Mus musculus: one gene and its partner. Each later gene encodes a partner of the first gene's protein in a complex. Links are inferred from orthologs where the notes say so. Each region holds a gene or a part of one and is shown in the gene's direction. Other genes may lie near its edges. The genes, in order: Pi4kb and Acbd3.

Region 1 (3,816 bases):
CGACAAGCAGTGCACTCACTCAGCCCTGTTAGCTATGAAAATAAACTCAAGCCGCACTGTGGGGCTGGAAGAAGAAAAATGAAGATACACGAGTTACTGTGTATTAGATGGCAGGTATAATTGAGAGTACTTTGTAAAAGGAAGGACAGAGACTTCTTGGGGCCTGGCAGAATATTTTATAGATAAGAGTGAGGAGATTAGGTGGAGATTTAGCCAGAAGAAATTGTCTGGGTATGGTGATCCACCTGTAGTCCCTGCACTGACATGGAGGCTGGGAAAGGAGGAGTTTGAGACCATTCTTAGAGAGTGTTGGGAATATTCTAGAAAGTTCACAAAAATGCAGCTTCTAGATTTCATTCCCAGTAGTTCTAATTTGGGCTGATGGTCAGAACTGAGAATCTGCACTTCCTATGCTTTTCCATGAATTCTATGAGTTCACACTTTGAGAACACTGCTGTGGGATCTATGGCTCAAGGCCTCAGTGATATGGAACCATGGTGGCTTTGGGAGAAGGCTGGAGTGGAGTGGTAGGCCACCATGCCATAGGTAGTTAGTTAGTGGCAAGTGAGCAGAGATCAAGAGGGAGATCTGTGTTTAGCATTTCTGACCTGCTCTTCCCAGCTCCCTGAAGTGCACACCAACAGCTGTGACAACATCTCCCAGTTCTCGGTGGACAGCATCACCAGCCAGGAGAGCAAGGAGCCTGTGTTCATTGCAGCAGGGGACATCCGGTATGGCCCAATCACCTCGTCCTTCATCTCCATCTTCTTCGTTCTGCCTCTTTGTCCTGTGTCTGGTTACCAGCTGTCAGCTTTATGTCCCTCTCCTTTATCTCCTTATTCTGTCCTTGCTCAGTACTTGAGGCCCTGAAGGTGCAGCTGAGACATTGCTTGAGCTACTACAAAAAGAAATGACATTTTAAGAGAGTTCCAAAAAGAAGAAAATGCCCCAAAGGGCATTTGAGTTTGTCCAAGTTGCACTTGACTAGCATGTGAAAGACCATGGGTTCAGTTCTCGGCATCACAAAAAAGAAAAGCAAAACCAGTCATCAAAGTGAGACCCCCAAGTGGAATCCTTCCTTTGAAGGCAGAGAGGAAATCTTGTTATACATGCAGATTCTGGAGTCATACCCATTCTGAATCAATATTGGAATAGAGGAATGAAGAATACAAGGCTCTCTGCATTTTAACATGATCACAAACTACCAAGTTAGCAAAACTGTACCATTGATTATCCTTGCTTCTCTGGCTTTCCCAGCCAAGAATCTGCCAGGAATCTAGGAACTGTGGCAAGGGAAAGTGGGCAAAGCATGCATGCAGCTCTGAGATAACTCTTCCAAGTAAATTGTGTATTTTCTTCCTGCTAGACGGCGCCTTTCAGAACAGCTGGCTCATACTCCTACAGCCTTCAAACGAGACCCTGAAGACCCTTCTGCAGTTGCCCTCAAAGAGCCCTGGCAGGAGAAAGTGCGGTGAGGAGGGTAGAGGGTAGACAGTGGTCTCAGTACCTCCCTCATATTCCAAGGTATCTTCAGGTGCTCACCTCTTCCATTGCCCTTCTACATCTAAACACTCATCAGGCTTCCTCTGTGGTCTGAGTCCTTACCCTGGCATCATCCTGTGACTTTTTTCTTCACAGGAGGATCAGAGAAGGTTCCCCGTATGGCCATCTTCCCAATTGGCGACTCCTTTCAGTCATTGTCAAGTGTGGAGATGACCTTCGCCAGGAGCTGCTGGCTTTCCAGGTGTTGAAACAACTGCAGGTAAAGAAATGGAAGCACAGAGCAGCAAAGAAAAAAAAAACGAAACACACAGAGAAAGGGGTGTTGAAAGGAAAGGCTCAGTGCAACTCCAGGGAGCTCTGCTGGGCACCTGCTTCCTACCCAGGTCTGAATGGGAAGATGAAAATGAAACTGGTTTGCCTTTCTCCAGAGAAGAACAGCTCTATGGGGACCTCTGTTGGTTGTTTCTGGAACTGCATCTGCCCTGTTCTCATCACTGGATGTCATTTTTTGATGGGTGTGATTTCAGTTAGGATTTTGTAATTCAGGCTGGCCTTGAATCAGTTATGGTCAAAGATGGGCTTGTACCCTTGATCGCCCTGCCTTCACCTCCCAAGGCTAGGATGATGTGCATGTACCATGCACCGCCGCACTTTGGATTTTTCCTTTAAATCAGAACCTCCCAAATGATCTGGGATGGATGGATTTACACTGTGCTCAAGTATTTTGGTTTAGTTTTGTATTTTGAAAAACATTTACTTTCATTTATGTGTATGGATGGTTTCCTAGCATGCTTGTCTGCACAGCAAATGTGTACAGTGTCCATGGAGGGCAGAACAGAGTATCAGATCCTCCTGGAACTGGAGTTAGTTGTAAGAAGCCTGATAGGTGCTAGGAACTGAACCCAAATTCCCATCAAGAGCAGGAGTTACTCTTAGCCCCTGAGCCATTTCTCCAGCCCTTGCTTTGGGACAGGGTCACTATAGTTCAGGTTTACCTGGAACTCATTAAGCAGTCTAGGCTGGCCTTGAATTCATGATAATGAATTCATGCATCAGTGTGAATACTAGAATTACAGATGTGCATCAATGTACCTGGCTATACTATGTTGAGACATTGATCACCTGGGTTGGTGACCTCAAAGAGGCTTCACCTATTCAATCCAATTCTCTATAATATTTGTAGGTTTTTTGAGGGATAGAGGTAGCTTGAACTAACTTTCTCTTGATTTTGGTTTTGATTGTTTTTAGAAAGGATCTCACTTGTAGCCAAATGGAACTTGCTTGTACCCTCTCCACCCTCAGCCAGTGTCACTACTATTCTTGTGTTCATTACTGCTGCCTCAGCTTCCCAAATACTAGGATTATAAGCAGTACTTTCATTTTGGTTTTGTTTGTTTTAAATATTGATTTATATATATGTGTACACTGTCACTGTCTTTCAGACAGACAAGAAGAGGGCATCAGATCCTATTACAGATGGTTGTGAGCCACCATGTGGTTGCTGGGAATTGGACCTTTGGAAGAGCAGTCAGTACTCTTAGCCTCTGAGCCATCTCTCTAGCCCTTGTTTTGTTTTTAAGACAGGGTCTCATGTAACTCAGGCTGACTTCTGACTCTACTGTAATCAAGGTTGACCTCAAACTTGTGATCCTTCTGCCTCTGCCTTCCAGCTGCTGGGAATATAGGCTTATGCCACCACATCCAATAGTATTTTCATTTTCTAAAGTAGCTTTCTCTGCCCCTAAAATCCCATCTTTTTATTATTCAAACTTATATTAATAGTCCCTACTCTCCCTACTTAGGTGATAAATTTCCTCTCTACCTTTTTCCTACCTCTGTGTAGTTCCTGCCCTTTGCCAGGCCCTGAAATTCCTTTTAAACTTCCTCGTTCTTTTATTTGTGGTTGTGTACACCTACAATCCTAGAACATGTGGAGACAGGGCTCCGGAATTCAAGGTTAGCCTACATGAGTCTGTCTCAAACAGAAAACTTCCAGGTTCTTAATAGGTCAGTAAGTCTTATTTAATGTCCTTCAATCCACGACACTAAGGGAGAGAGGTTGAGAAGAAAATTTTATTCTCTAGTTTGGAGAAAGATGAGCCACTCTCAATACCTTTGTGTCTCTTCACAGTCCATTTGGGAACAGGAGCGAGTGCCTCTTTGGATCAAGCCATATAAGATTCTTGTGATTTCAGCTGACAGTGGCATGATTGAACCAGTAGTCAACGCTGTGTCCATCCACCAGGTGAAGAAACAGTCACAGCTCTCCTTGCTCGATTACTTCCTACAGGAACATGGCAGTTATACCACTGA
Region 2 (3,816 bases), on another chromosome or scaffold:
ACCATGACAAACATAATGACATGACAACAATAATAAAAATAAACACTTTAAAATATGTTTTTTAAAATTTATGTCTAATGGTCAAACAATACTGTTTATGTACCTGTCTACAGTTTGTCAGATGTATTTCTCTATGTTAACTTTAACATAAATAATGATAGTTGTTCAAAAGATAATTCAAGATGGGTATGGTGATATCTGCCTGCAATCCCAGTATTTAGGGCTGAATCAGGAGAACTGAATGTGAGGGCTACCTGGGCTGCCTAAGAATCTAGAGCCCACCCTGGGCTATATTATATTAGTAAGACCTGACTTAAAGAAAAGCAGTAAAGAGTGAGAGGAAGAAGAGAAATCTTCTATAAAGGATTTGTATTTTAAGCCCCATTAAAATGTAGTAAATCCACTAACAGTCTTTTTTTTTTTTCTTTTTCTTTTTCAGGGGAGGGGGGGTTGAGACTGGATTTCTCTGTGTAGCCCTGGCTGTCCTGAACTCACTCTGTAGACCAGGCTGGCCTCAAACTCAGAAATCCGCCTGCCTCTGCCTCCCCAGTACTGGGACTAAAGGCGTGCCCCACCACGCCTGGCTTCCACTAACAGTCTTAACCTGCTGTTTTTATGTTACTGGCATACTCTATGTAAAGCTTCAGTGCATTTCTGATGCTGGAAACTATATCTGCCAACACCAATTGTTTCCTTTAATTTTCATTTCTTTTAGTAAAAGATGGCAAAGCCTTTCATCCAACTTATGAAGAAAAACTGAAGTTCGTGGCACTGCATAAGCAAGTTCTTTTGGGCCCATATAACCCAGACACGTCCCCTGAGGTTGGATTCTTTGATGTGTTGGGGAATGATAGGAGGTAACAGTGTTTTCTTATTTGGGTACTTAATGACGTTAGAAAGAAGTAGAATGTCTATTTCTGAAGGTGTAAGTAGTTAATTTCTTAACTTAGCATAACAACTGAAACATTGATTTTGCTCATAGTTATAAATCCTGTTGTGGAAGAGGTTTACTTATCTAGCATAAGACAAGGACAATTTCACCTGACTCTTTCTAAATAATATTAAAAGCAGCCATTTATTTTTTTATATTTTTAAAAGATTAATGTATATGAGTACACACTGTAGCTGTACAGATGGTTGTGAGCCTTCATCTGGTTATTGGGAATTGAATTTAGGACCTCTGCTCGAGCTGGCCCAAAGATTTATTTATTATTATAAATGAGTACACCGTTGCTGTCTTCAGACACACCAGGAAAGGGTGTCAGATCTCATTACAGGTGGTTGTGAACCACCATGCGGTTGCTGGAATTTGAACTCAGGACCTTTGGAAGAGCAGTCAGTGCTCTTACCCACTGAGCCATCTCACCAGCCCCAATAGCAGCCATTTAAAATATGTGCTGCGGGGCCTGGAGAGATGCCTCAGCTGTTAAGAGCACCAGCTGTTCTTCCACGGGACCTGGGTTTGATTCTCAACAACCCCAACCATCTATAATTCCAGTCTCAGAGTAACTAATACCCTCTTATGTTCTCCAAGGGCACAGATAAACATGGAGGCAAAACACTCATGGACATAAAACCAAATAAAAAAATAAAATGCATACTATTGATTCCCTTATTGAGACATACAGAATTTTGCCAGAAAATGGAATATTTTTTTCCGTTCAGGTTAAAAATGTAAAGAAAGTAAAATATAGATTGCTTTTTAACAAGTGTGAATAAACAAAGTACACTTATATTTTGGATTGTTTATGGCATCTTATTTAATATATTAATGAAGGTTTGTTGAAACTTGAAATCTTGAACTTTTTGCTTCTAGTAAAAACAGTTCATTTTAATTGTAATTGAGGTTTTCATGTGTAGATTTAATTAAACAAGGTTCTCCTGCTGCTGCACGGAGAAGGTAACTGTTCTTTTTATTCTTTGCAGGAGAGAATGGGCAGCTCTGGGAAACATGTCCAAGGAGGATGCCATGGTAGAGTTTGTGAAGCTTCTAAATAAGTGTTGTCCTCTCCTCTCGGCATATGTTGCGTCCCACAGAATAGAGAAGGAAGAAGAAGAGAAAAGAAGGTGATGTCACAGGGCATGGTGGCACATAGTGCGGGCACTAAGCACTGATGCTTTGCTTTCTGGAGTGTGTGTTCTGGGTTAGAGAGCCTCCTTCTCCTGTTCTTCACTTCCAATTCTTACGGCAGTTTTTCAGAACTATCCATGTGAGTGGGTGGAGGAGGATGGGCTGCCTCCTCCTGCTTACCTGTAAAGTGACCCTGTGTCCCATCTGGAGCAGTATTCCTCCACCCTCCACCCCTGAGACAGAGTCTTGCTACTGTAGCCCGGGTTGGCCTCCTGAATGAATGCTGGGATTAAGCATCTGTACTCCCATGCCTGGCTACTTTAGTCCTACTATAATAAGACTCAACTGTACGTTCACCCACTCCTTCCCTCCTGCTCTGTGGTGTTGACTGTGGAGCCTAGATGGCGTATTAATTAGTTATCTACTCCAGGTTTGGAGTAGATGATACTGCTGAGCTCACTGTTAGTGTTTCTGAGGTTCTCCCAGCACCCATGTGGTGGCTCACAGGCTCCTGTCATTCCAGTCCAGAGGATCCAACACTCTTTCTTCTAGCTTCCAGGAGTGCCAGGAATGCAAATGGTTCACACACATATATACAGGCAAAACACCCATATACATAAAATAAAAGTTCAATTAGACAAAGAATAGCCTAAGCATGAGGGAATTATAGAAGCACTTCTCTGGATGGCGCAAGCCCTGTAATCCTGGTATTTGGAAAGCAGAGCCAGAAGATTGCTCAAAATTCAAGACCAGCCTGCTCTTCATAGCAAGTTCCAGGCTAACCAGACCTGCACAGTCTAAAACAAACAAACCCAATGACATAAATTACATTTCATTGATAAGTAATATGTTTTATATCCCAATGAAAATACTTTTTGGTTTGGTTTGGTTTGGTTTTTTGAGACAGGGTTTCTCTGTGTAGCCCTGGCTGTCCTGGAACTCACTTTGTAGACCAGGCTGGTCTTGAACTCAGAAATCTGCTTGCCTCTGCCTCCCGAGTGCTGGGACTAAAGGCGTGCGCCACCACCGCCCATGAAAATACTTTTAATTGTATTTATTTTCCTTACATGAGTGTTTTGCTTACATGTATGTCTTTGTATGTTGTGTGTACATTGTTTTCAGAAGCCAGACAGGGTTGGTTTACCTGGGACTGGAGTTGCGGACGGTTGTGAGCCACTGTACCGTGCGGAGAATCAAACTTGGGTTCTGGAAGAGCAGCCTGTGCTCTTAACCACTGAGCCATCTCTCAAACCCCCAATTCGAGTCTTTTTAAGAAAAAAATGTATTCCTAGGTTTAAGTATGTGTATGTTTGTATGTGTGTGGGGGGTGGCGTGTGTACACGTGAGTCAAGGTGTCCTCAGAAGACAGAAAAGGGTATCAGGGCCTCTGGAGACTGAATTCTGCTCTCAGAAGGTCAGTACGTGCTCTTACTGCAGAGCTCTCTCCCACCCTCCCTGCCCTATCCTTTTTTCTTACTATTTTTTGTCTGGTTAGTTTTTTTGGTTTTGGTTTTGTTTTCCCCATTATTTATTCACTTTACATCCTACCATACTTCCATCTCCAACCCCATCCTGGTCCTCCCTCACACAGCTTTTTTGGTTTGGTTTTTTTCAAGCCAAGAGTTTCTCTGTGTAGCCCTGGCTGTCCTGGAACTTGCTGTATAGATTGGTTTCGAACTCAAGAGATCTGCCTGTCTCTACCCCTGAATGCTGGGATTAAAGGTGTACTTGGCTCCCCCGCCCCC

Evidence for each region.
Region 2: the proteins of Pi4kb (region 1) and Acbd3 are in contact, whole or in part, in an NMR structure (PDB 2N73), measured with the Homo sapiens proteins. The link is inferred for Mus musculus from reciprocal best matches to the Homo sapiens genes PI4KB and ACBD3. Residues at the interface, in NP_001317650.1 of Homo sapiens: Val37, Gly38, Val42, Ile43, Asp44, Pro45, Val47, Ala48, Gln49, Lys50, Ala51, Cys52, Glu54, Val55, Leu56, Val59, Lys60, His63; in NP_073572.2 of Homo sapiens: Gln245, Ile246, Ala249, Leu250, Gln253, Thr254, Gln257, Phe258, Tyr261, Gln265, Tyr266, Leu276, Leu280, Gln283, His284, Gln287, Tyr288, Gln291, Leu292, Val295.

What each region holds. Positions count from the first base shown.
Region 1 is NC_000069.6:94,995,214-94,999,029, forward strand, and holds part of Pi4kb (phosphatidylinositol 4-kinase beta), read left to right. Parts: exon of another isoform or gene 1-621; coding exon 622-731; exon of another isoform or gene 732-898; intron 899-1,366; coding exon 1,367-1,471; intron 1,472-1,605; exon of another isoform or gene 1,606-1,638; coding exon 1,639-1,762; intron 1,763-3,616; exon of another isoform or gene 3,617-3,634; coding exon 3,635-3,816. UniProt on the Homo sapiens protein: Phosphorylates phosphatidylinositol (PI) in the first committed step in the production of the second messenger inositol-1,4,5,-trisphosphate (PIP). May regulate Golgi disintegration/reorganization during mitosis, possibly via its phosphorylation.
Region 2 is NC_000067.6:180,732,451-180,736,266, forward strand, and holds part of Acbd3 (Golgi resident protein GCP60), read left to right. Parts: intron 1-715; coding exon 716-857; intron 858-1,926; coding exon 1,927-2,067; intron 2,068-3,816. UniProt on the Homo sapiens protein: Involved in the maintenance of Golgi structure by interacting with giantin, affecting protein transport between the endoplasmic reticulum and Golgi. Involved in hormone-induced steroid biosynthesis in testicular Leydig cells.